Arabidopsis thaliana: one gene and its partners. The protein of the gene in region 2 interacts with the protein of the main gene of each other region in a pairwise test. Each region holds a gene or a part of one and is shown on either strand. Other genes may lie near its edges.

The links.
Region 1: the proteins of AT2G29180 (region 2) and AT2G16595 interact in a protein complementation assay, tested with the Arabidopsis thaliana proteins (one large-scale study listed by BioGRID).
Region 3: the proteins of AT2G29180 (region 2) and AT1G63580 interact in a protein complementation assay, tested with the Arabidopsis thaliana proteins (one large-scale study listed by BioGRID).
Region 4: the proteins of AT2G29180 (region 2) and AT1G62330 interact in a protein complementation assay, tested with the Arabidopsis thaliana proteins (one large-scale study listed by BioGRID).

Annotation. Positions count from the first base shown.
Region 1 is NC_003071.7:7,196,301-7,200,925, reverse strand, and holds AT2G16595 (Translocon-associated protein (TRAP), alpha subunit), read right to left. Parts: upstream 2,800-4,625; 5' UTR 2,564-2,799; coding exon 2,500-2,563; intron 2,394-2,499; coding exon 2,241-2,393; intron 2,162-2,240; coding exon 2,111-2,161; intron 2,026-2,110; coding exon 1,940-2,025; intron 1,522-1,939; coding exon 1,444-1,521; intron 1,356-1,443; coding exon 1,152-1,355; intron 1,068-1,151; coding exon 996-1,067; intron 888-995; coding exon 840-887; 3' UTR 541-839; downstream 1-540. Other genes in the region: ROC3 (rotamase CYP 3), read right to left, coding at 1-64; AT2G16594 (Bifunctional inhibitor/lipid-transfer protein/seed storage 2S albumin superfamily protein), read right to left, coding at 2,844-3,152; AT2G16592 (Bifunctional inhibitor/lipid-transfer protein/seed storage 2S albumin superfamily protein), read right to left, coding at 4,350-4,625.
Region 2 is NC_003071.7:12,541,247-12,544,362, reverse strand, and holds AT2G29180 (uncharacterized protein), read right to left. Parts: upstream 1,431-3,116; 5' UTR 1,283-1,430; coding exon 953-1,282; intron 841-952; coding exon 661-840; 3' UTR 528-660; downstream 1-527. Other genes in the region: PUM2 (pumilio 2), read left to right, coding at 57-103; AT2G29170 (NAD(P)-binding Rossmann-fold superfamily protein), read left to right, coding at 2,083-2,174, 2,268-2,499.
Region 3 is NC_003070.9:23,575,315-23,579,017, reverse strand, and holds AT1G63580 (Receptor-like protein kinase-related family protein), read right to left. Parts: upstream 1,690-3,703; 5' UTR 1,686-1,689; coding exon 926-1,685; intron 826-925; coding exon 764-825; 3' UTR 532-763; downstream 1-531. Other genes in the region: AT1G63570 (Receptor-like protein kinase-related family protein), read right to left, coding at 2,714-3,703.
Region 4 is NC_003070.9:23,045,001-23,050,870, forward strand, and holds AT1G62330 (O-fucosyltransferase family protein), read left to right. Parts: upstream 1-1,767; 5' UTR 1,768-1,964; coding exon 1,965-2,426; intron 2,427-2,821; coding exon 2,822-2,914; intron 2,915-2,996; coding exon 2,997-3,096; intron 3,097-3,189; coding exon 3,190-3,251; intron 3,252-3,342; coding exon 3,343-3,431; intron 3,432-3,539; coding exon 3,540-3,660; intron 3,661-3,749; coding exon 3,750-3,893; intron 3,894-3,967; coding exon 3,968-4,305; intron 4,306-4,394; coding exon 4,395-4,635; intron 4,636-4,744; coding exon 4,745-5,053; 3' UTR 5,054-5,337; downstream 5,338-5,870. Other genes in the region: AT1G62333 (uncharacterized protein), read left to right, coding at 5,466-5,678.

The DNA of each region.
Region 1 (4,625 bases), 5.3 Mb from region 2:
CGATACGACCGGCGGATTTGCCACCGACGGTCATGTCGAAGTAGACTTTAGGGTTTGTTGCCATTTCTTTTTTTCTCTGAGATTGATTGGAGAAGAAGATTAGGTTCTGTGATTGTGTGAAAGAGATTAGGGTTTTGGTAGTGTTTTATAAAGAGAAGGAAATGATTTTTGTGACCGTTGATTTTGACACGTGGAGGAAGATTGAAAGGGTTCGTGTTAACTGTGGTTAGTGTTGAATCTAACTAGGGTTAATAGTTGCGTGGATCCGAGGCAGAGAGAGAATATTGTGTTTTTTTTTTCTCTACCTTTTTACTGGATAAGATATTAAGTAGTCGTTTCATTGATTTATTTACGGGCCAGGAATATTAAGCCCAATGTCGTAAAAAGAAGCCCATTGGTTTGGAGATAAATAAGAGTTCCGATAATGTACATGTACTTAGCCCAAACCACTCTTAAATAATTGTAGAGACTGAGAGGATTAGCTTCATAGAGCATCATAATAGTCTAATGACACAACTCTCATATTTTAAACCTTGGATTATACGATATAATTTCCAAATACAAAATTTCAACCTATATTGTTAATCTAATGATTATTCAACTTTTCTTTACTATATACATGAACTTTCGAAAGAGAATTATCATTTTAAACAAAAGAAAATAATCTTGACAAATTACAAAAGTTAAAGAAAATTGTTTCCTTGCAACATCTATAGCTAGAGAGAGTAAAGAAAGCATTACAGATTCTGTGAAGTTATCTCTACCAACAACTGCAACGTTACTATCGTTCGTGTGTTTTCGGTTTCTTATCTCAAGCCCCCTAACAAAGCGTGTGAGATCTACTTCTTCTTCTTTGACTTACTCGAAGATTGAGTGTACGAAGTACCCTGCATTACACAATACATTGAGAGCAATGTATCAATACCAAAATGTTCAATACATTAAAAGTTAAAACCCATTATGGAGAAAGTTATTAGGTCTTGTGCAACGAATACCTCAAGCCATTCATCATGCGAAGCATCTTTAGTTGCGGTTCCAACTTCAACTTTTGGTGCTCTCTTTGTTTTCTGCGCAAAGCATTTTCACAGTAACCATTCTCAAAGTTAGTACCATGGAATGAAAGTGCGATAAGATAGCGAAATAGGATGTACCTTGGTCATATGCTTCAAAACATTTTGGATATAGATGGCGAGAAAAGCGATAACAAAGATTAAAAGACCACTAAGGAAGACTGACTCCATTCTGAAGAGAGGACCATCTTCAACAACTTCAATAGTTCCATTATAAAAGATGCTTTGGTATGGCTTACCATCTATCTCATAGATGATGGTGCCAACAAAATCAAAAGCACCCGCCTGCACGAGCAAATGGTTACCTCGGATTCTATTCTATATTTTAATGTCATCTTGGAGACTAGAAGAACTATATGATTAACAAACATACCTGCAGGAACTTGCTGACAGCAAAAGCATATGGCAAGGTAGCTTGAGCGGAAGTTGGCACAGACGCGTTGCTGAAACTCTACATTTAGATGATTCGACAAAATGACCAAATAATAAGTAGCAAACTTAAAGAGCAAAGGCCAGAAAAGGAAAAGAGGAGAAAACTCTATATTCAGCAAAAGCCATTGTAAGATTCTATATCTAGAAATGAAATGGAATATAGCTAGAGCCAAAGCAAGTATCTGGTATCAAAACATAAATGATAAAGATTAAAGGCTAGAGAGAGACTTTCTTGCATTTAGATACAGGGATGTAACAAGTTCAGGTATTGTTACTAAACCATGAATGACCTAACAAAGAGTGCATAGTGTGGAGTAACATGAGATGAGACAAAACAGGCAATGAAAAGAACCTAACAAAGGGAAAAACTAATATGGAAAGACAAGTGAGATCACACAAGCAATAAATGTGAGAAGAAGCAAAAGATGATTAATTACCAGAGCAGTGAGATTCTGAACAGCATTTTGATCAAAAGGAAGATGTAAACTGCCTTTAACAGCAACAATATCTACATTGGATTGACCTATTCATATAACCCAACCACAAAGTTAGAAACTTTATAGCTAACTTTGCAAGTAATCATTTGATAGAAAAATCACTTTCATTACCATCATTTTTCATTCCAACAAGCAGCTCAGTCTCAACTCCAGCTTTTATTACTACAGAAAATCAGACAAACCAAATTGAGAAGAAGCCTAATTTCAGAAATTAGATTAAAAACAGAGTAAAAATCTGTACTTTTTGCACTGTTCTTGGGGAAAACGCAAAGGGTTTCAATTCCAGGAGCTGAGGTAAGTTCCAAACCAAAAACTTCCTCTGCATCACTCTCTTCTTCACCAACATCAGAAACTTCGAAGCCAGAATCTTCCGAATCCGATTGGCACAAAGCAACTAAAAACAAACAAAACCCATCACAATGAATTCAAACAAAGATCATGTGAACAAAAACAGAGTAGAATCAGCAAATGAATGAACAAGTAGAAGAGAAAGGTGTTACCTTTGAGAAAAGGTGAGACAAGTAGAAGGAAAGCGAAGAAGAGAAGTCTAAAACTTGTCCTCATGATGGTTTTGAGATTGGTTTAGTTGAATTGATCTTCGTGGGTTGAAGTAAAAGGGCGAAGAAAGCAAGAAGACAGAGGTGCTTTTGTCTTTTGACGTGTTTATGCTTTCTTCACCGACGTTGACGAAGAACGACATATGAATGTGAGTGTGTGTGCAGATCGGATTTTGTAAACGACGTCGTTTTCCGACTTACCAATTTAGAAACACCTTGCCCATAGGTGTTATAACATTTTAGTACAAAGTGTCATAATTATGGCCGAGGAACATAACCTATAACCCCTATATTTTTGGACAATTGGGGACAGAAATATGGCAAAACCAGAATATTCTATGAGCAGCTGCGTTTAGATTCTGTTCCTTGGCCGTAAGGAATCTACACATGCATGATGTTGACTTTTTCATTTTCTCACAACAGCCTTTAGGCAGTTTGCCTCCGTGACCGTTAACTAGAAAAGGTTGGACGCAAGCTAGAAGATCCAGATTGCAAAATGGTAGCTCTTTTTTTGCACCAACGACTTTGATCGGAGAAGGAAATGATGCTAAGATCATCATGATGATGGCTATGAGTATCCATGGACTGATCTTCATTGCTAATGTATTAGTAACTCGAAATTACAATCAAAATAAGATGAGTTTACTTTGTAGAAATTAATAATCTTTGTTTTCTTCATTTTTTAGATGTCTTTAAATAGAAAATTGAGAAACAAAACAATATGGGAAGTCGGAGAGATGGAAGGATGGTTGTCCTATTGTTAGCTCTGTTTATGTGGAGTTTTATTCATTAAGGAGCTCGTCACGTGTCGTCAGCTGCTCCACTATCTCCTAGATATAGGACCCCATGTTCGGTCCCGAACTATACCATATGAAAGTATAAACTAGTATAGACTTGGATGACCAAAGTTGAGTCAATTATAATACATGGTGAAGTATGTATACTAGAAAGCAAATTCTACAAAACTCAAATAGACAGGAATAATAACTTAAATCCATTCACAAAATATCTGCTTGAAGTAGAACTTTGAACCATCTTGAATGGAAAGTAGAATAGAATTGAGGCAGCCACGGGATATCCACCAATGGTTTGATCCACAGAATCTAAGGTTCGAAGCTTGAATGGTCGGATGGATGAAGGTAGTGATGGGGATGGAAGTTTTGAATGAATCCACACTCACCATAAAATTTAACAAATAGATTGCTACTTTAGTTGTGTTATACAACTGTACGGCTTCTCACAACATCGTATATATGTACGAATGTATTTTAGAATACTGCCTTTGAGGAAAAGTGAGGCAAGGAGAAGGAAAGCAAAGAAAAAATGTATGATCCTTGTCGTCATGATGGTTTTCAGATTGGTCTTAAATTGATAGTGGTGGGTTGAGGGCGAAGAACGCAAGAAGACAAAGGTGGTTTTGTCTTTTTGACGTGTTTAATGCTTTTGGTGTTGACGAAACGACTTCGTTTTCACTTGTCAATTTAGAAACAGATATTACTAGCAGAGATCGATAACTCGACTTTTAAGGTACCCTGGAAAATGCTAAAAAGTCACAGGATCAAGTGATATCTGGAACACGTAAAATGTCACAGGATCATGTTTCTGTGTGTTAGTTACAAAGGTGGATAAAGTATTAATAATAATTTTCGCTTAAATGGTTATATGTTTCTTAAATGGTTGTGTATTGAAGCTCAACTTGTGTCTCTCGAGCTTCAATCAATCATGTCGTAGATATAGTCGAGGAACATAACTTATGTATAAAATAAATTAAGAAAAAACCATAACCTATATCTCTAGATTTTTGGACAATTAGGGACGGAAATTTTGCAAAACCAGAATATTCTATGAGCAGCTGCGTTCAGGTCACGTTCCTTGGCCATTAGGAATCTACACATACATGATGTTGACTTTTTCATTTTCTCACAACAGCCATTAGGCAGTTTGCTTCCGTGACCACGAACTTTAAAAGGTAGGACGCAAGGTAGAAGCTCCACATTGCAAAATGGTAGATCTTTTTTGGCACCGACGACTTTGATCGTGGCTGGAAATGATGTCAAGATTATGATGGT
Region 2 (3,116 bases):
AGAAAGACAATATATTGCGTGTCAATGTCTCTAAGTGGGTTTTTTCTCATATACAGAGAGGAGGATGGCTTTGCAGTCCCTAACCCAGCCTCAGATGGCGTAAGGCCGCAAGTGTTGTACAGCTTAACTAGGGTGGATGGCTCTGCCATAGCGTTTTGAGAATTAGGTAAAATCTAAACCGGAAATAATCTGCGGGAAAATTGTGAAGGAGAGCTTTGTTTTCTCTGCAAATCTGTAAAATTGTGTAGTTGCTTACGGTTTTTCTATACATAGAACCAAACATCCCACTTTAGGCTGATGAGTAAGAGAGGAAATATGCAGAGAATGGTGTAAAGGTGGGCTGAGGTATGGTGAGGATTTTAGGGTTTCCTTTACACGAAAGAGAATGGCTTTTTCATTGCCAAATGTGTAGAAGTGAGAATATGTTCATGCTTTTAGGACAATCCTAGTGTTTAGAGTTTTTTCTCCATCTATGTAATTTGTTTCATCAAACTCTTGTTTCCTATTTCACTAGTAACTCTTTCGTTTCTGTAATATTGCAATATTTTTGTTATATCGACCATCAAGTTGCTTGGTACACAAGAAACATATCATAGATGTGACAATCACTGAGCAACATTACAAACAAAATCAATCTTTGTCTCTCTACTACACACAAAATCACTCAAGATCAATGTCGATGTCATCATCTTCAATCTTCTGACCAAAACCTCTTGGTCCAGCTCTGGCTCTCATTGCCTTCTTCTTCCCACCTTTCTTAGACTTCTTTGCTGCCTCGTCTTTCTCAAACTTCTCTCTCTCCCTCTTCCCAAGAAACTCAGTCACTCCAATGTACACAACCTGTAATGAAATAAAACCGGTTTAGAGACTCACAAACCGGGCTTCAGGTTTGGTTCTGTATTTTGATTTGACATAGTTTATGGATAAGATTGGTTTTGTGGATAACACTTACACCAATGGTGAGAACCGTGAGAGCAAGAAATGCAACAAAGAGAAGCACTTGTATAATCAAAGCAACACCATCTTGTCCACCACTAGACACAACTGCTCCAGAAGAAGAAGATGAATCAGAAGAAACGATCTCTTGGGAAATTTCTTCCGGAGTTGCAGAGACTCTCCATAGTTGGGTTTTTTCTTGGTGAAGACGAAGAACCCTAAAAGACAAGATCTTTCTTCTTGAAACAGACCAAGAGAGTGGAGATATATGGTGGCCTTTAACTGGAGTTTGGAATCTTGGTCTGAAATTTGAAAGAGATAGAGATGGTGTTGTTGTCGCAGACATCTTTCCGTCCACTCCCACACTCTCTGATCTCTTCAGATTCTGGACATAACCCACTTCTGTTTGGTTACATCCAACGGTTCATGTTTTCTTGAGATTGAGAACAGATTATTGATGGGCCAAGAAAAGCCCAATATATTATTTTCGTGGGCCTTATATTTCTATTAGTTTTTGATTATGCATCATTAGTTACGCCATCATCACTAAACTACAGTCTTAAGATTGTTTACTTTGATCTCTAATTTTTCTACCCACCACAACAGTCACAACGTCAAGAGATACGTTAGCTTTCCTCAATTTCTTCAAACAATCTCATAGCCTCGTATCATTAATTCATCATAAATAGCCATTTTTCATTATCATTTCTCATCAAAATACATCATTACACAACAATGGCTAGAGCAGAACAGAGCTCAACCCATGTTACATGGGGTCTTTAGTTTTTCTCAAACAATGAAACATGAGTCGATCCCATGTAGTTGGGGCTTAACCCTTAATCGAGGCCCATTATTTTGAGTAACCTAAGAAAAACATCAAAAGGCCTTACTGTGTACGAACGTCATTACTCATTATTATCATTCATTCATTCATTATGAATTTTTCTCAACCATAAATTCAGATCTCCAAGAAAATATCTTTGGGTCTGTGGCTCATAATCAGAGGTGGCTAAGACATTCAGACAGGGGTTTCAAAGGACAAAGTTAAACAATTCACGTAAAAGTATCTTTGGCCACCCTCACGACTAGTCTTCCACCTCTTGGCCTTAAATATGTGACCTTCATTGAAGAAAATAGTATCCAGAAATGGCTAAAGCAGAAGAAAACTTGAGAGACAAATGTAGATGGAGCCTTGGAGGCATGACCGCTCTCGTTACCGGTGGCTCCAAAGGCCTCGGGTCAGTCCCCCTACTAATCCAATATTGAATACATTAATATGTCATATTACATATTTGCACGTGTCAATATGTATACAACTGTGTTATGAATAGGGAAGCTGTGGTGGAGGAACTAGCCATGTTAGGAGCAAGAGTCCACACATGTGCTAGAAACGAAACTCAGCTTCAAGAATGCGTACGTGAATGGCAAGCTAAAGGGTTTGAGGTCACCACTTCTGTATGCGACGTTTCTTCTCGTGACCAACGAGAGAAACTCATGGAAAACGTTGCCTCTATCTTCCAAGGAAAACTCAACATCCTTGTAAGTTTATGTATAAGAGCATAATGCATAAGGTTTTGAGCAAGATCAAGTGATTTTTTTGTTGTGTATTTGTTGGAAGTGATCAAGTCATCATCTTATTTTAGAAGAGATATATTATATAGTGAAGTAACTGGTTTATATATATTCGTATCACACATCGAAGAGATACAAATATAATTGTTAACTACAAAACAGTTACATGTGTGTATGTGTCTCTACATTAGGTTGTCTTCTAGAGACGTGTCCCTTAGTCAAAGTGTGTCATGTAAACCTATAAATACAGTTTGTATATGTAATAAAAGTGTGTGGTTTTCGTTTTATAAAAACAGAGTGAAATATAGAGTAAGACAAAACAGAGTAAAATCTGTGTTGTCCGATCCTTAACAACTTTGAGAGTTCAAAGTTCTACATGGTATCAGAGCTATGGAGACAACAATGCAGCAAGTTATTCCAATCTTCAATGGTGAATCGTATGGCTTTTGGAAAATCAAGATGATAACCATCTTGAAAACAAGGAAGTTGTGGGATGTTATCGAAAATGGAATTACGTTGAGTTCGTCGTCTGAAAACTCACCGGCGTTAACTAGAGAGCGTGATGATCAAGTGATGAAGGATATGATGGCTCTTCAGATTCTTCAAAG
Region 3 (3,703 bases), on a different chromosome or scaffold from region 2:
TTAATTAAATATATAAACTATTATATTAGGAATAATACAAAATTATTTAAGCTGGGCAGTGTACATGTTTTTGGTATTATTGTCTGAAGCAAAACATAAGACTTGTTTAGGAAGACCCTTTTTTATGGGTTTAAGAAGACTCTGATTAGTTTTACAATTAGGAAGGCATGTTTTGATGCAGAGAAGATTATGAGGATATTAGTTAGTAGTTACAGTTGGAGATAACATAGAAAACAAGATATGTTTAGATCCTTGAATCGATCTCTGTCTTCCAAACTCTGTCCCCTATTCTTGATTCTTGATTTGACTTACAATTTCACGATAGACCATCATATATATATATTAGTATTATGATCACATCTATTTTCTTAAGACTGATAACAACGTTTTCAAAATGGCATCAATGATTTAACAGCGTTCTTAGCTTGAAATTTAGTAATTTAGATTACCTCAATTGCGCTACCACCAAATTAAGGCATGATTCGTTGTGATCATCGTATACCACCCAAAGACTTATGAGCACGTTCAATGCAATTTTTCTCTCTCCCCTATGATTCCATAATTAACTATGCTTAAATATACGAAGGAATGAGTACTGCGAGATAATCCCACTAATATAGGAGAACACATGATGCTATATCTCCATTCAATCTTTGACCAAGTCAACGTCGGTTTACTCTGGTTATGATCTTACCATCACCCAAATGGAGAGAACACAAATATAAATCAGTAGTTACAATCTTTATTACATCACTAGACTTGATCATAAACCCATTAGTAAACCTATCATGATTGCAATAAACGTTCTCCCAAATATATCATCTCCTGTAAAACCGAAAAAAAGGAGCAATTCAAAGCCATATATATCACATAAGTTCCATAGGGTGGGGAAAGGAAAAAACGGACATTATATACTGTGACTAACCTTTTGTTGTAACGCCAAGACTCGTTAGGTTTGGTTGCAAAGCAGAGATGTCATACCTCAGAAGACATTTAGGAAAGTGGATCCGAGCCCAACGAGATTGGCTGCAACATTCGGAGAATTTTTCGACCACAAGTCCCAAGCACACGGTGCAGCTGCTTGGATCAAGATCAGGACTACACTGAGCCATTGCCTCTAAATCATACGAACCTTCCACTTGAGTCACATGTTCTTTATCTTCCACAAAATATGGAACCGGTGACGAAAAAGATGAGGGGGCTTTGAGGATAAGCTCGTCTAATTTTCCAGGAAGTGTTTGATTGTAAAATTGCGGATAACTCAAAGAATCATTCTGAGAGTAACTAAAGGTGGCAGGTGAATCTTCTACGAGTGAAAAGAAAGAATTATCCGAGTACCGAACCATACACTCGTCAGAGAACATGAAAGATGTGTCATGAGATTCACAGGATTTATCCATTTCTAACGTTGCGGAATGGACACAGTTTGAACAAGATGTTTTGCTTATGTTTCCTATGCACAGGAACATGCCATAGACTGTGTTTGGGCTTAGACCGGCCGTGGCATTGAAGTAATAGCTTCCGAGGGAGGAATGATTACGAAGAGTGGAGAGGACGGTGTTGCGGTTTGATTGATAAGTGTCGGGAAATTGGTTGCAATCAGTTAGATTTTGAGAAGGTTGGGACATGGCTCCAAGAGAGAATAGGAAGAAGCAAAACAGGGAAACATCAATGATTCTTGTCATTTTTGTTATGACTAATGAGAAAGGACAAAACGTAACATAGATTTATATAATTAAATAATACCTTTGTTTATTTTATTTCATTCAGATCCGTAATGTCCACACATAAACGTGGTAGACGAGTTCAGAGGAAGAATCTATATATAACTATTGTTGTTTTTAGTTGAATATATTTCATATTTCTTGTATATATATAAAACGTTGAATATCTTTGCAGGTTCGATGAAGCAAAAAGTCAAAAGATAAAGTTGTCCATTGGTTTTGTGAAAGATCTAAACCCAAGCACAAGACTTGTTCATACATTTTAGTTTTTTTGAGAACTGAAGATATTCTGAGGTTTAGAACCACATGAATCTTTTTTTTTTTTTTTGGACTATAGACAAAAGAAAATCCAACGGGTAAGAAAAGATTAATTTATAATTTAAAAAAAAAATATATTAGTAGGGAAGTCATTAATGAGAGATATAGGTGTTTGGTTTTAACCTTTTTTCCGTCAGCAAGGTGTTTTAGGTATTTTGAGTTTTAGATTTGACATTTTTATGTAAAGTTGCAATTTTATGGAAAAGATAACAAATAAAAACCTTTAAAGTAAAAATATGGACATGCATCAAACTCCATTTCTTCTTAACTTTCTAATCAATCCATATAAACATCAGAATCAAACCTAATTTTTTTTGGGGGAAAATATTAACATTTTTTATGATCATAAATCATAAAAATATAATACACATCACACAGATTAAACGTTATTTTTTATTTCACAAATCATTTATTTAAATTAATCCATAAATCATCACATTTGGTCCCAAATCCACAAGTGCAAACACCTTAATGTCACGTCGACCCGTTTTCATTAAGCTGGCATTGTAAAAGCAATCCACGCAAATATTTTCCTGCCACAAACGAAAAAACACAAATTAGAGTAAACCCTCCTTATCAATAGTATGTGAACTATTAGGAATAAATATTTGATTAAAAGTTCTAAACAATACATACAACAATCATATATCTCTTTTCAAGAAAACCACGGATTAAGTGCTCAGCGGGGGCGGTGGTTGCGAAAGAGGAGGCGGCAATTGAGGCGGCAGAGACAGAGGAGGCGAAGATGTCGGAGATATAGGAGGCAGAGACGATGGAGACGGCGCTGGTGATGGCAAAACAAAGGTTCTATATCTCAAAATACATTTAGGAGTAAAAATCAGAGCCGAACTTGGTACACCGCAACAAGTTGAAACTGTTGCATACGCAAATCTGAGGCAAATGGTACAGTTTGATGGATCAAGATCAGGACTACACTGAATCATTGACACTAAATCATATGAACCCTCTAACTGAGTCACACGTTCTTGATCCTCCACAAAATACGGTATCAAAGTTGACGGAGAGACGTTAGGAATCAGTTGGTCTAATTTATTGGATAGGGTTTGGTTAAACCGGTTTGAGTTTGGAGCAGAACGAAGAGAGTAACGAACGATGACTGGTTTACTTTCAAATTCAGAGAAGAAGGAAACATTTGAGTATCGAACCATACACTCGTCGTAGTATATGAAAGCTCTTTTGTTAAGAGTACAGTTTGTAGCGATCTCGATTGCTGCGGTTTGAACACAGTCTGAGCAAGATGTTGTGTTGATGTCTCCTCTACAGAGGAACATGCCATAGACTGTGTCGGGGCTGAGACCGATTGTGGCGTTTAAATAGTGTACGAGCGAGGAAGTCAAGCTGAGAGTGGTGAGTAGGATGTTGCGGTTTGTTTCGTAGGAGCTGGTTTGTGTGAAGCTGTCGACGCTGCAGAAAGTGTGCATGTGTTGAGGTTGGGACATGGTTTGGTGAGATAACAAGGAAAAGAAGAAGTAAAACAGAGGAGCAGTGAGTATGATTCTTGCCATTTTGTTCTGTATTGTTCGACGAAACAGAGGAGATAGAGAATTTATAGTGGAATGAAAAGAGCTTTTCTTTGTTGATTTTTTCAAAATAGTGTCTAAATAAGGATATGGTAATACCAATTCAGAGGAAGAATATGT
Region 4 (5,870 bases), on a different chromosome or scaffold from region 2:
ACCTTTAGAAACTCATTACTCAAAAAAATTTGGCCCTTTCGTTGACTCTTTTTTTTCACAATGTTCTTGCGATCAGATTGAAGAAGAAAATAATATGAGATGAATCAAGAAATCATATTGGTGAAGTGGAGATTTGTGTGGTTTGTATAAAAGCTTCTTCGAATATAATCTTTAAATTTTCTTCAAGGAAAAGTATTGCACAAGTTTCTTTAGTTTTCTCTTCTCCTTCCTCTGAAAACAGAAACAGAGAGAGGGAAGAAAAAACAGAGTATGGAAAAAACAGAGAGATTGGTTCTGTTAACAGCACAAAAATGGGGAAGAGAAGAAAAGAAACTTCGTGCCGTTTTTGTTGATACAAAACGCTGAAAATACACGGAGAAATAGAAGAAGAAGAAGATGATGAAAAAGTTGGATCTTTTTAAAATCTTTGAATCTAGTTGTTGTTGGTCGGCCGTCTAACTCAAGAGACTATTATTATTCCTTGAAAAAGTTTCATTTCAAAAAAATGTCCCAATTGGGTTTATTCCTAAATTAAACTTAAACCAGCTCTAACTTTTTATTATTATTACACATCTATCTTATTTGTTTTAGATATACCCATGCTTATTTTGGAGATAAAGTTAGATTAAAATAACTAAAATAATAACTTTGTTGCTAAAATAAGATAATGACTTCATAGTTGACTAAAGTAAAAAATCATGAAATTAGCTTAATTAAATTGTTACTAATACTACTCAAGTAAGAAAATAATGAAAATAGGCAAATACCGTGCCATCACGTTGAAGTCTATAATTTTTTTTGTTTTTTTTTAATAATCATATTCTTCAGTATAAATCACCTTTTTGTCTATTTTATTCCCAATACGAATTACTTTTCTTACGTCCAAATCAATGTGAATAATCTAGCTACATTTTTCTTCATTTTCTTTTTTTAATAACCACCTTTCATCAGTGTCACAGAAATTTATCTAAGGACGTGCGTTAAGACTATCTGGGATTACATCAAAACTGCAATTGTTTTTTAATACTCTCATTATATTAGTCCTTGTAGACGTGTAGTACTAGTACCATGTCGAAAAAGTAAACATTTGTATCAATTGCTATATACATATATTAAAATGGTTGTAAATACAATTTTAAATTCTTAACTTAATTATCTTGAAAAAGTAAGTTAATAAGTGTCTGCATGTGCTATATTTCCTTTAACAAAAAAAAAAGGCCTGACAAAAGGAAATTAATAAGTTCTCTAACTCTTGTCTAATTAATATAACACCAAAAACAGATGTCTAGGCCCCAATTAAAATCATATTACTCTGATATGCAGAAAGCGTATTTGAAACCCTCCACACAAAAAGCCCAATATACCAAACACATGCTTGCAACTATTTTTGTTTTTGACAGCTAGTTTAGCTACTTGTTTATGTTATGAAACACAATGAAAAATTATTCAAATTTCATAGATATAGCTTCAACAAGCTGTAGATAGTAGTAATAAACTAGTTTTCAATTTTATTATTTACGTAGTTGGTAGGAGCTAATCCAACTTTACACATCGCTAAATGAAAAATTATTATTCATCTTAAATACTCAACAAAATTATTAATTCTGTCTTACCAAAATGTTATTAATTCTAAGAAATGATAACAACTACTAAGAACAGTCTACTTGATCAATTTCTTATAACTTTGAAACCACAACGGACATACGTAGGGTTATATTTCGTATTAGATAAAATAATAGGTAAAGATTAAAATGATTTTAAAGGACAGGGACCTTAAATTAATACCAGCGTCAATCTCAAGGTTTAAAAAAAACTTTAATAATTACGTTCAGACAAAGAAGAAAAATCCTCACTGAAATTCGAGCAAAAAACACTCACTTCGCTCTTTCTTCGCTAGCTTCGTTAAATTCAGCAAATCTATCTCTCACGATCGAACAGAACTGAGAGAGAGTGTGAGCTTAGCCATGTCTTCTGAGAGACCAGACGAAGAGAAACCAGAGACTCGCGATGTTCTTCGAGTCCAAGATCTGATCCATGGAGGAGGAGGAGCTTCACCGGTTCAATCACCGACACGTCTCGGTCCAACCCGCTTTTCAGAAGTAGCTGGAGACAAGATTCTTAACACCGGGTCGAATTGTATCGGGTCGGTTTTGTCTTGGATCAACGGAGATCCAAACCGGAATTTGAAAAATCCGGTTAAGAGAGCAAAAAGGAAACGAATCAGAACGGCGAAAACCGCCGCGTTTGTAATCGTACTTGTTGGTTTCTTCATTTTCGTTAATTGGTTTATGCTCTCTCAGCTCCATGAAGGTCGAGCTTGGCTACGGAGAGGATTCTCGAAAAAAACGAATCTTAAACCGAAACTGAACCCGGATCCGAACTCGAGTGTGAAACGGGTATCCGTTAAAGTGTCGGCGAATGTACAGGTAAATTAGTTAAAAATTTAATAATGTGATTGGTCAGTCAGTTTACTGTGAACTTTAACTTTTTAACAGTCTGTTTCTTGTCAAATCAATTTCAAATCCCCAAATGGTTAAATTGTGTAAAAATTTAAACTTTTTGTCTAATATACAATTACTTCAAATACAGATTTGGTTAGAGAAAAATAAAATCCTCTGTTTGAGATTTGTTAGTTAGAATGTGAAAATGCTGTGGTTAGGAGACAAAGTTTACATGTTTGAGATTTTGCTAGGTGAAGTATGAAATTATTGTAGTAAATGGTAAGTTTATGTAGTGTAATGTTATATATTACATGATTTTTGCATTTGGATTAATGGTTATGGAAGTTTCATTTGATGTTGAGTGACTTATGATTTGGTAGCATAAAGAGAAGAAAAAGATGGGAAAACCAAAGAAGACATATAATGGAACATATGGTAGATTGTTGGCTTATGCTGCTCATGCTTTGGCTGAGGTATTATCCTTTCCGCTTTCGACATTTCGAATTCTTAAACCGAAACCGAAAAGCCTACTGACCGAGACATTGTGTTCGTTAGGGGCAAAACAAGCTTGAACCAAAAGAGTTGTGGAGAGAACCAAAGGACCAAGCTTTGGCTTGGAAGCCTTGTGCTGATCAACGTTCCTGGAAGCCTAGTGGTCTCTTACTCTTACTCTCAATGAGTTTATTTCTCGTACTATATAGGTATAGTTTTTCTGATTTTTGTGTTTTTTTTTGTGTGTGGAGTTTAGATGGTAAAAATGGATATATAATGGTAACTGCAAATGGTGGGATCAACCAACAGAGAGTTGCTGTAAGTTTTGATTGCGTTACACATTACTTTGTCATGTCCCACTCTTTATATTGACTAACCGTTGGATTTCGCGGGGACATTATTAAAACAGGTTTGTAACATCGTTGTTGTTGCGCGGATGCTAAATGCGACACTCGTTATTCCTAAATTTATGTTCAGCGATGTCTGGACCGATGCAAGGTAACTATTGTAAGGTCCCTCCGTTCTCTGTCTCCTTCTCTTATAATTGATGCTTTCTTGAAAACGTCAAATTTTAACACTCTTGAATGGTATATATATGTTTCATAGTCAGTTTGGAGATATCTATCAGGTGGAACACTTTATAAAGTATCTTTCTCCTGATATCCGGATTGTAAAGAAACTACCCAAAGAGCTTCAGTCTCTAGATCTTGAGGCTATTGGCAGCGTCGTAAGTTCCTTACACCGCTTTTAGTGTGAAAAACCGATTTCATCTTCGTATTTTTTCTAATGTAGTTCTCTTTTATGTCGTTTTTTAAGGTTACGGATATAGATGTCATGAAAGAAGCCAAGCCCGGGTTTTATATGAAGCACATTCTTCCTCTTCTACTCAAAAACAGAGTCGTCCATTTCTTAGGATTCGGAAACCGTTTGGCCTTTGACCCGATACCGTTTGAGTTACAGGTAAAGAACCTTCTTTTAGCACCGTGGATATCGATATATTACCCGTAATGATCCAACTTTTTCTTGGGGAGTAGAGGCTGCGGTGTAGATGTAATTTTCATGCGCTAAACTTCGTTCCGAAGATACAAGAAACGGGTGCGATACTCGTAAGGAGATTACGAGATAGTGGATCACACCTTGCACCAGTTGACCCGTATCTCGTCGGTCCAAAATTTGCGTCATTCATATTGGACAAGAAAGCAGGTCCTCTCCATAAGGCTTCTAAGTATCTAGCAGTCCATCTCAGGTTTGAAATTGATATGGTGGCTCATTCTCTCTGTTACTTCGGAGGAGGTGATGCGGAAAAGGCAGAGCTTGATGCTTACCGGGAAAAGCATTTCCCGACGTTGGCAAATCTAACAAAGACGCAAAAGTTTGTTCCTTTCCTCTCTTAACTCTTTTTCACATTATTATTTCAGTTTTGGTATCTCACTGAATGCCCTTTTGTTTTCTCTTATGCAGAATGCCATCTCCAGACGATCTGAGGACAGAAGGACTTTGTCCTTTATCACCTGAAGAAGCCGTGCTTATGCTTGCGGGTCTGGGTTTTAGTCGGAAGACACGTGTTTTCGTCGCTGGTGCGAATATATATGGTGGGAATAAACGGTTAGCAGCTTTAACGAGTCTCTACCCGAATCTAGTCACCAAAGAGAATGTACTCTCACAAACTGAGCTAGAGCCTTTCAAGAACTTCTCATCTCAGGTGAAATGAAAACAAGAAAACCCGTCAAAACTTCCTTTTCGGTTTATCGGTTAACTTTCTCCGCTAAACTAAACCGAAGAATTGCATATTTTTCTTTCTGGTTATGTAGCTAGCGGTTCTTGATTTCATTGCATGCGCTGCATCAGACGCCTTTGCGATGACGGATTCAGGGAGCCAATTGTCGTCTCTGGTCTCGGGTTATCGGATATATTACGGAGCAGGGAAAATGCCGACGATCAGACCGAACAAACGGAGATTCTCAGACATATTGTTGAAGAACAATACTATAGAGTGGAAAGTGTTCGAGCAGAGAGTGAGAAAAACGGTTAGGCAAACCAAACATGTATTGGTTAGACCGACGGGACGCAGCGTTTACCGTTATCCAAGATGTAAAGAATGTATGTGTAATGAAGATTGATTATTTGGTTTACATTGTTGGTTCGGTTTTTTAAACGGTCTTCATATTTTTCATGGCATTTGTAGCGGCTACACATTCTAGTGAGTACCAAGCTTGAGTTTGGTACCAATATGGTATTATTAGTATTTGGTTTTGGGGGTATTTTGATGCTGGAAATACTAAGATTGGGTTTGGTAAACCGGTGGTAAGTATGAAATTTATCTCTCTATACATGCATAAGTATGAAATCCTTCCAGAAGAATTAAAGTTAGCTTGAAGGATTAGGTGGATAACTACCATTCTACTAAGCACTTATTTAATGAGTAACTGTTTTACACTTCAAAGACTTGTCGGTAACAATGATTCTTCATCTTGATGTTATATATAAACTAAGTTAGTACACAAGACAGATATTGCAATAACAATTCACAAAATGCCTTATCCTCCTCCTCATCGTCATCCTCCTCCTTTCCACCATCCACCGCCACCAAGACCACCGCCTCCGGAGCCTCGCCCTCCTCCACCTCCTCCAGGACCTCAGCCACCACCTCCACCTCCTCCCAGACCTGATCCACCACCTCCACTTCCCGGAGCTACTTGGTTTCCAGGACTTCTTGGGCCACGCCCTCCTAGACCACCATATTAGTCGTCATGAATGTTTTGGTCTATTTAAGTATATAATTCGAAATATATATTGTCGAAACATCTTAGATCTTTAAAGATTTCATATGTGTAACACTTTCATGTGTATTAGGCTCATCTGTGTAATCATCCTTCATATGTGTAATTAGAATGTATCTCAACCTTCGCAGGGTGGTAGGTTGAAACGGAGCACGCT